Medicago truncatula: one gene and its partner. The protein of the gene in region 2 interacts with the protein of the main gene of each other region in a pairwise test. Links are inferred from orthologs where the notes say so. Each region holds a gene or a part of one and is shown on either strand. Other genes may lie near its edges.

Region 1 (7,146 bases), on a different chromosome or scaffold from region 2:
GTCATTGTTTGTCAAAACATATTCACTCCCCCTTCCACCATGAAACAAATCACCCAATTGTTTAGGTCACTAAAGAACCTAAACTGTTCTTTATGGTTGATTTTTGGATTTCTTCCATCGACAACACTATTGAAAGCACACCAATTAAAACGTAGCACCGACTAAGTCACTCCTATGTACCACATATTTGGTAAAAGATACCATTTTTATTTGCACTGAAGAATATTTTGAGCTAGGAAACTTTGGTTTAGTGTTATTAGCACCAGAGAGGTGAACAATTATACACTACCTAGACTATTTTTATGGCTTTTGGACAGTTGTCAACAGAAAAACATAAATATACCAGATTGTTTAAAATACTTTTTTAACAAAAGGGTGTTTCATGATGATTGTCTAGACTCAGAGTTATCTGACTATCAAGTATCCAAAAGATACTGTAAGTTTTGTCTGCATGCAAGTATCTGGGATCTTTTATCAGCAGTCTTGGCCTTTCACATTTTGTTTCTTCCATTTTTTTGTTGGGGCGTGATCTGCTTATTTGTCTTTATCAGAACACAAAAATACTCAGAAGTGTTGCCTTTCCTTAATTATCACTTATTACTTTCTTTATATATGGCTTTTATATATACTGTTTCATCTTTGTTGTGGAATAGAACTCCACACCGTTTGTGATAATGCAGTACTTGATATTTTTGCCATGGTTATCTAAAGAATTGCTGCATATAAAAAGAAGTCTGCCTGATGGAGTTGCTCTTCAGCTCATGCAAGAAGAATTGTGTGCTTCTTCAAGATTTATAGCATGTAATGACTATGTGGCCCTTGCGCACGCCGATCTTCACTCGGTATTGTCTTAATTGTACATCATAGATTTCTTTTCCAGGCCACTATCTCATTCTTGTTTAAGACAGGTTGATTTTGATAGAGTATCATTTACTGCCATATATTGTTCAGGATGCTAAGGAATTAATCACAGATATCCTTGGGATAGAAGTTTTCAAGCCGGAAGATTATTATAGTTTTTTTTCTGGAAGTTACTGTGCCTTATCCAACATAGGTGGTTTGGTTAGTACACAAGACATGTTCTCTTGAAAAGTTAAAATTTGTAATTCAGGTCTTTTGACGATATACTTGCTGCAGATCCACCCTCATGCTTCCAAAGAAGTCTTGGATGAACTTTCTGCAGCTCTTGGAGTTCCTTTTGAAACTGGGACCGTCAACCGAGGCAGCCAAGCTATAGCTCCTGGCATGACCGTAAATGATTGGACAGCCTTTTGTGGTTCAAGCACCACAAGAGCAGAGCTCTGTGTGATTGATAGAGTTTTCAAGCTGAGGGAACCATTATGAATGTTGGATGGGACGAGGAAATTGCTCATTAGTAGCTACATTGAGTTTTGGTTTTAATACACTCTTCATCGTGATGATTTCCCGAATGATATGGCAAGCTAATGTCCCTTAGATTTTAAATTAATTTGACCACCGCTTCACCAAAACAAAATTTTAAGACCAACACGCCGTGATTTCCGGCCAGGCAAACTTTCTTTTCGCGACCATATCGTGATCAAATTCTTCTAGATATATAGCATTACTCAGAATTTTTTTTTTTTTTTTTGGGTCATGTTCTATTGTAAATTGATGGTGTACAGATTGAATTTCTTGAAACATGCGTTCTTCATTTGCCATTTTTTTTCTTCCCGTTACTATTTTACTGATTTTGTTAGGTTGGATCTGTGAGGTTTTTATACAAATTGATTCGTGAGTCCAATCAATGTTTTAAACTTGCTGTCATGATTCTAAATTGGCATTTTCATAAATTAGCACAATAAAATGTTATAATAAATATGTAAGGAGTTAACATGTGACAAATTAGTGATAATCATGAAATCATACATCATAACCTTCTAAACTCGAATATGCAAACCAATGCCATAATTATAATACACATATGGGTGTTCTGGAATTAGGCATGGTAATGGGGCGGGGTGGGGACGGGTTTTACATTCCCCGTTCCCATACCCGATTCTCATATACTTACCCGTTACCCTACCCATATCCAACGGGGATGAGAAATTGAACCTCATGCCCGTCTCCGACGAGTTCGGGTATCCCCGTCCCCGCATTGAATAATTTTTTTAATAAAAAATAGAAGTTTTTTTTTGTAACCCCTAGAGAAATTTTGTAATAAATTATCAACAATATGTTCACTTTAACATTTGTTAGACCGATTGATTTAGTTTCTCCTTTAAATATCAATGTTAGTTTTTATAACACGACAATTATCAAACAAAATAACATGGCATATCAATATAAATTAGTTTTTTTGCATTTGGGACGGGTTTGGGTATGGGTTCGGGGTGGGTACATATATACCCTTTACTCGTCCCATACCCGTGTTTTTAAATTGGGGAAAACCCAAACCCATACCCAAACCCAATCAAAACAGAGAAAATCCGTCAAATTGAGTTTGATTCGGGTGGATAACCACGGGTATAGGTTTTGTTGCCATGTCTGGATGTTTTTTATGAAGAAAAAATTAGTGTTTGGTACCCTGAAGTTACAACTTCAATGGTACCCATGTTAATCCTAGGTGGAACTGACTGAAGTCTCTGTGGCTAATTTTTCAATACCCCACCAGCAGTTTCTTCTTTGTTTGACACGGTACAGGCATCAAACATGTTTTCAAATCAGTATACCTGAAATTAAGTTAGCAAAAAATAAATATAAAACAACCTAAAAATAAAATCCTTTAAAAAACCTAAAAATAAAATAAGTGCTTGATAATATTAGTTCAGTTGGCAGGGACATGCATGATTATATGCAGAGGCCGAGGTTCGAACCTCAGACGCCCCACTTATTCACCTTAAAAATGGTGAATTCTAGTCACTAAATTACATGATAAAAAAAAAAAAGTATTAGTCTGTTGTATAGGTAATAAGAAGAACAACTAACTATTTTAAGTAACGGATAAGTGTAAATAAACAATTAAATTATATACAGTTGGAAGTGACCCGTTAGATTTAAAAATGTGTATGTTATTCTATTTTATATATGGCCATTCATTTTTATGATCTAAGCACATGAATGTTTGATTCTGCTTATTTCTATGGTTTTTCACTGATTTCTCTAAATCAAAACAAATAATTAGTTCTGCCATGGTGATAACGGTGTAGCAAATTCAATTAGCCTCTATCAATGCAGAAAGCTAGTGAATCTTTCTAGTTTGAAACTATCCAATTAATCTCGGTAAGTTACAAAGATACTAATGACAGTTTATGATGGTAGCCTTGCCCAACAAATTTTTTTTAGAGTTATATTTTATTTCTTTCAGGTGGTTTTATGCTTGTTACATGGTACATCAAAAATGAAAAACATTTTGCAGGTTTGTTTTCATGTTCATGAATTCATTTGACAACATATAATATACATATGCAAAATAATTGTACATTAATTAAATTCAAAAAATAAATATTTAAGTTTCGTTACCTGTTTTGTCCAGTCTATTAGAGTCTAAAACATATCTTATCAACTATGTCAACCTTCATTTGTCTCTTTTTGTATACAAGTGATATGTGTAATTATTTATATTCGTATACAACTGATATGTTTATTTATTTTACAGGGACCACTTTGCATTTTCACTATGGACAATGTTAACCAATGTTCCCGGAGTATTGGTTAAGCAGCTAAAAAGAGGTAAGATTTAATTAAAAAGTGATGTAATAATTAGTTAGTAAAAAATAACAGTTTATATTTTCAAGATATTTTTTTTAGTTTTGGATTCATTAACCAGTGTCCCGTTAATAAGACCTTTTTTACTATTTTTAATATTTTGTTTAGAAAAATATAAAAAAGTAAATTTGAGAAAAATAATGGTTTAAATATGCAAACTGTCCCTGTAATTTAAGCGCATTTTGATTTTCATCCCTGTAAAAAAAAAATTAATTACATCCCTGTAAAACAAAAATTATTAAAAATGTCTCAGGCCCCACTTCATTGGTGATTTGACAAAATTTTATGCCACGTGGCCCAAAACCTTGCCAAATCACCAATGAAGTGGGGTCAGGACATTTTTAAAACAAATTTTTTTTTTTTTTACACGATGTAATTAATTTTTTTTTTTTTTTCAAATTTACAGAGACTGTTCGTATATTTAAGCCAAAAATAATTTTATGTTCTGATTTCTTCTCTTTGGTCTTTGATTCAAGCACAAGCATTGCGATCAGTCTTCTACATCTACAACATGCCTGTGAGAGTAGCATTGGAAAACATCACAACCCCTTCTCACGTTTCAGGTATAAACATATTCTTCATCTTCTTCTTCTTCTTCGTTTCAGTGATTTTTTTGTGAATATTATTGTTGTTGTTTTCAACAATCTTGTTTGATTTGTTGATGTTTTAGGTGCAAATTCAAGGCGTAATTCATTCCAATCTTGTACTCTTCTAACTGTTGGTCAGGTACTTTCTTCATTTTCATTTTTTTTTATTCTTTTATGCTTTGTTTCAATCTTCAACAAAATGGGTATAGAAAAAAAAAAAAAAAAAAAAAAAAAAACCCTTTTGAAATTGGGTTTCTTTGTTTTATGTTTTTTATGCATTTATTTCAAGTGGGTAAGTCATGGAACATTGGTGACTTATTGTTTATTTAATATTCCATCTGGAAGAAGAAGAAAACATAATTTTAGTGGAAATAATCATTTTAGGTTTGATCAAAGTGATATTTGCTTTCAATCTATGAAGCTTTTATACTGAAAAAATTTCGCGTATACACGTATCCATATTGTGTTGCACCTGCTCGTGTATTACGTATCTGGATTTCATAGGTTTCAATATTGGTAACTATAATTAACTTCTGCTGATGGGAATATATCAGTGATAGTATTAATGAAATTGAAATGTAATTGAGTATTATTTGTTTTTTTCATTGAATCATGAACGAAAGCAATAAAAACATCATTACAGCTTGAGATTGGATTCATTAGAATGGAGGATTGAGTGAATGGTTTGTGTTATGTGCGACTACATTGTGGTTCGAGGAAGACTTTTCTATTTCAATTTTCATAACGGATTAGGAGCTGATTCAATGGTTCTGAAGTTTCTGGAAATGTAGCCAATTGATAGTTTTAGTGAATTTTTTAGCCTAAGATGTATAGCCAAATTCTGGTTTTGGTGAATTTTGAAGCCTGAGATGTATTGGCTGGTCCCTAAGCCATTCCATGGTTTGAAAGGGAACGGAAAAAAAAAAAAAAAAAAAAAAAAAAAAAGAACCCAGCTGTACTGGTTGTATAGCTTTATAAATTGTCGTATAAATGTATTGTATGTGCACCTGTGCCATATATATACCCGATATGTGATATGGCTCTAGGTTTTGGCCTAAGCCCAACAACTAAGCCGAATAGGGAAGTTAGTTACTGATGTGGCATTAGAGATAGAGCCCACTAAATTCTGTTAGTGAGTAGGAATATAGTAGACGGGATAGAATTAGAAATGATGACATTAGAGTGAGAGTTGGGGTGGCACCTATAGTAGAAAAGATGGTAAAAACTAGACTGAGTGGTTTGTGACCTGTGGATTATGTAGTTAGGAGAGTAGATCAGATGGAAGGGAGTTAGATCACCAGAGCTAGGGGTAGACCTAGAAAAACGACAAGAGAAACTATTAGGAAGGATCTAGAGGTAAATGAGTTAGAGAAAGACATGGTTTTTGATACAACACTATAGCGTCCTTTGATTCATGTAGGCTTGGTTGTTGTTGATGTAGCCGACCCACTTAGTGGGATAAGGCTTGGTTGTTGTTGTTATTGTTGAGTGGGAATATCGTGCAGCAGGGGGAGTGAAGGAATCATTCTGGTTTATTCGGAGAATGTCTTCTCATGTAGGAGCTTTGCTCTGGTTTATTTCCCTTCCCGTTGAAGATCCTTTGCCTCTAATGCTGCGTCGGTAACTTTTTTTTAAATGGCAAATATTAGTAGTTAGTTTGTTAGATTAATATTTTCTCCTTTGTCCGGGTTTGAACACAGGCCCTCCAACTCCTTTTCCCTTTGCTGTGTCAGTAACTAACTTCCCTATTCAGTTTAGTTGTTGAGTTTAGGTCCAAACCTAGAGTCCTCTCAGTATGTTTGTAGCTTGCTGGTTTCTGAAGCAATAGATACAGAAAACAACTTCAAATTTTAAACCTCTGAATCACAACATGCTTTTACTCTTTCAGCTAGTATATCTTATTGGACAGAACTTACATCCTGTACAACCGCATTTATAGTTGACACTAGATACTATAAACCTATCATATGAGAACATGTAGCTTATTTGTTCCAATCATATAAACACCGTATTTCAGTATTTTAAGAAGAAAAAAAAGTCAAAAAACACACATGAGGATGTTTTTGCAAAAACATTGATGTTAAGGGAGTAACATCGTGGTTTCATTTTGCTACGGTGATACAAATCGACCTGTTCACTGCTGCTTTCTTCTAGGATCTTTGTTCCCATATTCGTTTGTGAGGTCTCTCACGACTCTCCCTATCGCGCTCTTCCCAAAGTTGTTTTTACTGCCATGCTACTGGGGTTTCAATCCCATTCATTATTTGAAGTATAATAGACGGAAAGGCTTGGTCAATCCAGGGAAGTATAATTAGAAGAAAAAAAATTGGTTAATGGAGGGATCAAGCAAATATCATGAATGGGGACGGTTATAAGACATGATCTCTGAAGTGGAGGGATTATACTCTGATCCATTTGTAACTGGTGGTTTAATTGTTTTAAAATTTGAGGTTACGTGTTACACCTTGATTGGTTAACACGATAAGTAGGGCTTATAGATATAAGTTGTCCTATATTTACAGGATGTTTTATATTTTCAGGCCTTTTCGGGGACGCAGAATGTTTCAAGCTTACAAAAGGATGAAGCATGGAGGGTAAATGTCCGTATACAAGGATGTGACCTTGAGCATGGATATCTATGTGGCACCATGGAAGCTCTTAATGTTCCTATGGCAGACACGCCAGTAAGAAATTTCTCTATAGTTCATTTTTCTTAAAAAGGAAATAAAGAAAAAGAAACCACTTTTTTCCTTTAGAAAATATCCATGTTTATGAGCTCTCTCTAGTTCAGTTTGAACTATTTGTCACAAATTGAATCTGTAAGACAACATTA
Region 2 (7,131 bases):
CAATTTTTAATCAACAACAACTTAGCTCATGTATTCATGGGTGATAATTTTAGAGACGTCTCCAAACCACTATTTACAACTTCCAACCAACAACTTTTAACATTGTATTAACAAGAATACAATGAATAGAGCTTATTTGTGGCCATTTCTTTTTTATTTATTAGGATAAGAGTGGATGGGAGGAATGTTTGAGAATTTAGATGATTTGCCCACTCTCTCTTGGACGACAAAGGTTATAGCTGCTGGCTAGTAAGCTACCATATGGCAATGTTGATCCCGTATGTTACTGTTTATAAATCATGATGTGTCTTAATTTTATTATTTGAAAGAGATGTGTCTTAATGCATTTATACTTGGAAAATGACATAGATGACTGGTGGATGATCCCGGAAAATTGACTTTGTTCTGCTTATAATTTGACTTGATACCAGTAAACGATTATACTACTATTGTTCATTTGGATTTTGGATTAGTCGACCTTTGAAGTTTCAAAAAAGAAAATAACCGTCTTGCTAAAGTCGTTATCATCAAAACTAGTACGTACCTTTATCCATTAATTGGTTGTCGTCTTGTCGATAATAGTAGTTATCATGGGCGAATTACTAACGACCTTGACGTTATTACTTTTTAGGTTCGTTAAATAAATGATGTATGTGATCTATATTAAAGGTCACATACATCACTTATTTAATGAATTTAAAAAGTAATTTTTTTCCTTTTAATTGTGACTGAAGAGAATACTTTTTTTTATTCATCGGTTCTTGCATTTACCTATCACATTTTGCTACCAACATTCAATTTTATTGTCACTTAAAAAACATTGAATTTTTGTATTGTGATGTGGATTAATTCCTGTCAGTCCCATTTCTTTTTTGATGAATCTAAGTAAATTTCACCAAATCAATAATTTAACTTCCTTTACATTCTTTTTTAGTTTCACAATATAAAGGTTGTGATTTTGAATTTAATTTAAAGACTGATCTAATATTTCTTTTTGTCCATAAAATGAGTGGTAAACGTCATCTAAACATTTTTGTTTAACAAACAAAAATGAGATATATTACCACAATGAAACGGTTCTACTATCTAGCACAAGGAGTGCATAGAAGAGCAGAACAAAAAACAACAAGCATCTTGAATAGTACAAAAAAAGACAGTCAACCAATGCCCAAACATGCAAGAGGTTGCTGCCACCACAAATGGTAACCAAAAGGAAAACAAACTTTTTTGGCTTTCAGCCAATTCCATGAAGTAATTTTGACCTTTTCCATGAGCTGCATAATAGATGTTAATTTGTTGGAAAACAGTCTGTTATTCCTTTCAGTCCAAAGCACATAAACCGTGAATAACCAAATAAGCTGCAAAAACGATCGTCGGATCGGGGTTTAAAACCTCCCGAAGAGTAAGCAAATTGGTGAAAATGATCCATAATATGTTGGGGATCCACCGTATCCACTCAAATCCAAGTTTTTACATGATGCCATAACTCACCAAAAGTCGGGCAGTGAATTAAAAGGTGATTTGTTGTTTCGTTATTACCACAACCGAACACACATAAATGAGAATCAAACGGAATAATACCACGTCGCACCAAATTATCCTTTGTAGGCCACCTGTTGCGAAGAAGTCACCACACACAAATTGAAATCTTCAAAGGAGCATTTTTATGCCAAATTGCGTCAATAACTTCATCGTGATTATGCATCTCCTGCCTCATAAGCATTTGATACACACCACAGACTGTGTATCAATCTACCACATTAGGACGCCACTGCCATATATCAGTAGTAGTTTCCTGCAAAATAACATTAGAAAGCAAAGATATACATTCCTTCATTAGGTCCTCCTCCCAAGCCAACCACCTACGCCGCCACCCCCAAGCATCTCCACCTTCCTCCCAACCTAATAAACACATTTCCGCCACCGTCTTTTCCTTATAAACTGATAAATCAAACAACCTCCTAAACCTGTCCCTAAGTGGGACCGCCCCCACCCAACAGTCGGACCAAAAATAGGTTTTAAAGTCATCTAAACACTTACACACACAAAATATTAAGGCTAATTTAATTTATACATTGTCGATTGAGTTGGGTCACATACAAAATTGATTTGATCTAATCAATTTGAAAGGAACATACATGATTTATTCACTATATATACTCATTTATTATAAAAATAATAGGCAAAATTACTCTCATCATCCATTAAGTTAATTTGAAATAACAATTTCATTTTTTATTTTTTTCTCACGTTATTTTCGTTCTTTTGGTCAATTGGCATATAAATTTTCAAGATTCAAATCTACGATTTTATTTCGATATGAACCCTTACTCAAATATATAGTTCTTTACTCATGTTTTTTTTTTGTCAAGTAGCCTAGTAGTTAGAATTCACATTTTTCAAGGTGAATAAGTGGGGTGTCTAGGGTTCGAACTCCGGCCCTAGCATATAACAATGCATGTCCTTGTCAACTAAGTTATGCTTACGGTGACATTTTACTCATGTTTTTGTTAATAAATTTTAAATTAGTTGATCATTTTTTTAAAAAATACAATGTTTTTTAATAAAAGTCAGACGGAAATATTGATAATGAGCTGGCCCAAAGCTCAATTCAATAGACCAGCCCCATCCCATTTTTATATGGGCAAAAAATGTTCGAGTACATTTTAGATTAGCTTTTTAAACCTGTCCCAACCCAAAATGTCGATTAATGGACTGACCTATTAACTCGTCCCATTTTTTACATCTCTATTTACATAAAGATAAACAACAAGAACTTACCAAAGAAGAAATGTAAAATAAAATAAATTAAGAAACCGAATTTTTATTTTTATTTTTTATAAAAAAAAAAAAAAAAAAAAAAGGAAGAAATCTTAAAGGATAGGAAACCCGAAACCGATTAATAATGCAGTTGAGTAGTATATATGGAGGCATTTCCTTTGAGTCAGTAACGTTACAGTGGTACACGAGGCATGGGCTAATTTGATGAAAGTTTATTTATGTCAGACAGATATATTAGCTGTGAATGTGATCTAAGAGATGAATGTGATATCGAGATATAAACAGTGTCCACCAATTAAAAACAAAGGATATGATGACATGGCATTTGTGTTACTTACTTAGCCGCATATCACCAAAACTTTGAGCCTTTGCACGTGACACCCATAACTTACTCCTTTCTCCATATCCAATGTATGGGACTTGGACCCCATCCAACCAAATTCATCCACCTCATAATTAAATAAAAATTTTATTAATAAATATCTTAACTTTTTTCCACTACTTTTCTTTAGTTAGCAATTTTTTATGTTTAATTATTGTGGGTGGGGAATTAGGACTTAAAACTCAATGATTTATGAACCCTACATGTACCAAAAAAATAATTATTGAACATTGTACCAAAGTGGTGTTAAAAGAATTGACAATATGATTCTTTTTAGGAAAAGAAATTGAGTTTAACTTCTAAAATTGTTCATATAAGAGGTAACACATTTAGATAAAAATATAGATGTTTTTTTGTCGATTTGAGAATGCGGTAATACGACACGCTTACAAGTTAAATATTGTTAGAAAAGCTATCTATTTAGGAGATAGCATAATCTTGATAAAAAAAAATGCAAATACTTTATTGCGAGAGTTAAGTAATACGATGCACTTACGAGTTAAATATTGTTTGAAAAAGTCGTCTATTTAAAAGGTAGCACAATCTGATAAAAAAAACATATGTTTTATTGCGAGAATGTGGTAATACAACGCGCTTATAAGTTAAATATGGTTAGAAAAAAGTCATCTATTTAGGACGTGACACAATCCTAATAAAAAACAAATGCTTTATTGCGATAGTCCGGTAATACGACGAACTTACGAGTTACATGATTAAAAAAAAGTTAATGACCCCTATTAAAATAAATTTAAATTAAGAGCCGACATGAAATCTAAGATGGTAAGTGAATTGAGTGATGTTAGAGAAAAAGGAAGGAAAGTCAAGGAAGCAAGCAGTAACAGTAACTACCATGTTTGTTGTTTAATTAAGTGTATGTGTTATCATGCATTATTTAACTTTCTTTTTTTTCTTATCTATTTTAGGAACAAAGCCAAACAATCAACTTGCCCAAATTAGATATTTTTTTACATATACTATTATAATAATAAAAACAGCACCAAGTAGATGGATGCTGGTGTGATGAGTGAATCTATCTAAGTGTTGGATGATGATTTGATTTTTATATTCTTTATTTATCTTTATTCATTTCATTCCTTCCCATCTTCACATGGGGGGCACCATAAAAAATTGATATATTATATAGTATTTATGGCATGATGGCGGTCCCTTCTCAGTCACAATTGTGTGCTGAATTATACTGACCTTGCTTGGTTGGAGTTGTGAAGTAGAGGCTCCAGCTGGGTGGGAGACAAACAAGGGCGGTGCTTGCTGCTGCTGCTGCAGGTGCAGGGTATGGTATGGTAGTCACATACAATTGGTTATTTTAACCCTTCCTTTCTTGTACTTACTCTTTCACATCAACCAAGTTTTTCCCTTCCAACAAGGTTAGTTAGTTGTTATTTGTTCTTGTCTTGTTGAATTTGCTTCATGTGTTTCTGTTTTGTAAAAGGAAAGAGATACAATTGTTTGATGATTGTAATGATGGATTTGTTTCTGACTTGTTTGGTGTCATCATTGTTTATAGAATCAACTGACAGTACTAATCAATTTTTTTCTGAAAGTTATGATTATTAATGATTACAACCAATTTTTATACTGTCATCTTTCACTTGATGTGTGAGTTTTGTTTATTTTCTTCTATGATTGGGTCACAACTCAAATTATAACTAATTAAAACCTTACATAATTGTTAGTATTATGATTGAGAGTGCTGATTGAACCCTTAACATGTTTTATGAGGAGAGTTACAATTACAAAGATTGACATTCAAGTAAATTAGTAATAGACTTCAAAAGTTCTGCAGTATCACATATGCTCAGTGATGATTCTTATATGGTTTGGATTAACTCGGTAGTTATGTTGTTGTTTTTTTTTTTTAATCATTGTAAATGCAGTTTGTGATAAAATGTCGACCACAAGGCCTAGCCAATCATCCAACAACTCAGGGAGATCAAGAAATAGTGCTAGGATTATTGCTCAGACGACGGTAGATGCAAAACTTCATGCAACTTTTGAGGAGTCTGGTAGTTCCTTTGACTACTCAAGTTCGGTGCGCGTCTCTGGCTCAGTTGATGGAGAGCATCAACCGAGGTCCAACAAAGTAACAACAGCTTACCTCAATACAATACAAAGAGGCAAGCAGATCCAGCCTTTTGGTTGCTTGCTAGCTTTAGACGAGAAAACGTGCAAGGTTATTGCATACAGTGAGAATGCACCCGAAATGCTGACCATGGTGAGTCATGCTGTCCCTAGTGTCGGTGACCACCCTGCCCTTGGCATTGGAACTGACATAAGAACTATCTTCACCGCACCGAGTGCTTCTGCGCTACAGAAGGCACTGGGATTTGCGGAGGTTTCGCTTCTTAACCCTATCCTTGTTCATTGCAAGACTTCTGGGAAGCCATTTTATGCGATCATTCACCGTGTTACAGGTAGTTTGATCATTGACTTTGAGCCAGTGAAGCCTTACGAAGTTCCCATGACTGCAGCAGGCGCATTACAGTCTTACAAACTTGCTGCTAAAGCAATTACAAGATTGCAATCTTTGCCTAGTGGCAGCATGGAAAGGCTTTGCGATACAATGGTTCAAGAAGTTTTTGAACTAACGGGTTATGACAGGGTGATGGCTTATAAATTTCACGAGGATGATCATGGGGAGGTGATTGCTGAGGTAACAAAGACAGGCCTAGAGCCATATCTAGGATTGCACTATCCGGCCACAGATATTCCCCAGGCTGCGCGCTTTTTATTTATGAAGAACAAGGTCCGTATGATAGTTGATTGTCACGCAAAACATGTGAAGGTTCTTCAAGACGAAAAACTCCCATTTGATTTGACTTTGTGTGGTTCGACCTTAAGGGCCCCACATAGTTGCCATTTGCAGTATATGGCTAACATGGATTCAATTGCTTCCTTGGTTATGGCTGTAGTAGTCAATGACAGCGATGAAGATGGAGATAGCGCTGATGCAGTTCTCCCACAAAAGAAAAAGAGACTTTGGGGTTTGGTAGTTTGTCATAACACTACACCAAGGTTTGTTCCTTTTCCTCTAAGGTATGCTTGTGAATTTCTGGCTCAAGTATTTGCCATCCATGTGAACAAAGAAATAGAATTAGAATTTCAGATTCTTGAGAAGAATATCCTGCGCACACAGACGCTGTTGTGCGATATGCTGATGCGAGATGCACCCTTAGGTATTGTATCACAAAGCCCTAATATAATGGATCTAGTGAAATGTGATGGGGCTGCACTCTTGTATAGAAACAAGTTATGGATATTAGGAGCGACGCCGAGTGAACCTCAGATAAGAGAGATAGCTTTATGGATGTCCGAGTACCATACGGATTCGACTGGTTTGAGTACGGATAGCTTGTCTGATGCAGGGTTTCCAGGGGCTCTTAAACTTAATGATACTGTATGTGGAATGGCAGCTGTTAGAATAACTTCAAAAGACATAGTTTTCTGGTTTAGGTCGCACACCGCTGCAGAAATCCGATGGGGTGGTGCAAAGCATGAACCTGGCGAACAGGATGATGGTAGGAAGATGCATCCAAGATCATCATTTAAGGCTTTCCTCGAAGTTGTGAAGGCTAGGAGCATACCATGGAAAGACTTTGAAATGGATGCTATTCATTCGTTACAGTTAATACTGAGAAACGCGTCCAAAGATACAGATATGATTGATTTAAACTCAAAGGCAATCAATACAAGACTAAATGATTTGAAGATCGAAGGGATGCAGGAATTAGAAGCAGTGACAAGTGAGATGGTTCGATTAATTGAAACAGCAACAGTGCCTATTTTGGCAGTGGATGTTGATGGGATGGTCAATGGTTGGAATATCAAAATTTCCGAGTTGACAGGTCTTCCGGTTGGCGAAGCTATTGGAAAACATTTGCTCACACTTGTTGAGGATTCTTCAACGGATATAGTTAAGAAGATGCTTAATCTGGCACTACAGGGTATGT

The links.
Region 1: the proteins of phytochrome A (region 2) and glucose-induced degradation protein 4 homolog interact in a two-hybrid assay, tested with the Arabidopsis thaliana proteins (3 studies listed by BioGRID). The link is inferred for Medicago truncatula from reciprocal best matches to the Arabidopsis thaliana genes PHYA and AT2G37680.

The regions. Positions count from the first base shown.
Region 1 is NC_053045.1:6,954,817-6,961,962, reverse strand, and holds the start of glucose-induced degradation protein 4 homolog, read left to right. Parts: upstream 1-4,142; 5' UTR 4,143-4,237; coding exon 4,238-4,289; intron 4,290-4,396; coding exon 4,397-4,452; intron 4,453-6,853; coding exon 6,854-6,997; intron 6,998-7,146. Other genes in the region: eukaryotic translation initiation factor 6-2, read left to right, coding at 712-842, 952-1,062, 1,138-1,344.
Region 2 is NC_053042.1:41,897,617-41,904,747, reverse strand, and holds the start of phytochrome A, read left to right. Parts: upstream 1-4,105; 5' UTR 4,106-4,548; intron 4,549-5,058; 5' UTR 5,059-5,069; coding exon 5,070-7,125; intron 7,126-7,131. UniProt on the Arabidopsis thaliana protein: Regulatory photoreceptor which exists in two forms that are reversibly interconvertible by light: the Pr form that absorbs maximally in the red region of the spectrum and the Pfr form that absorbs maximally in the far-red region.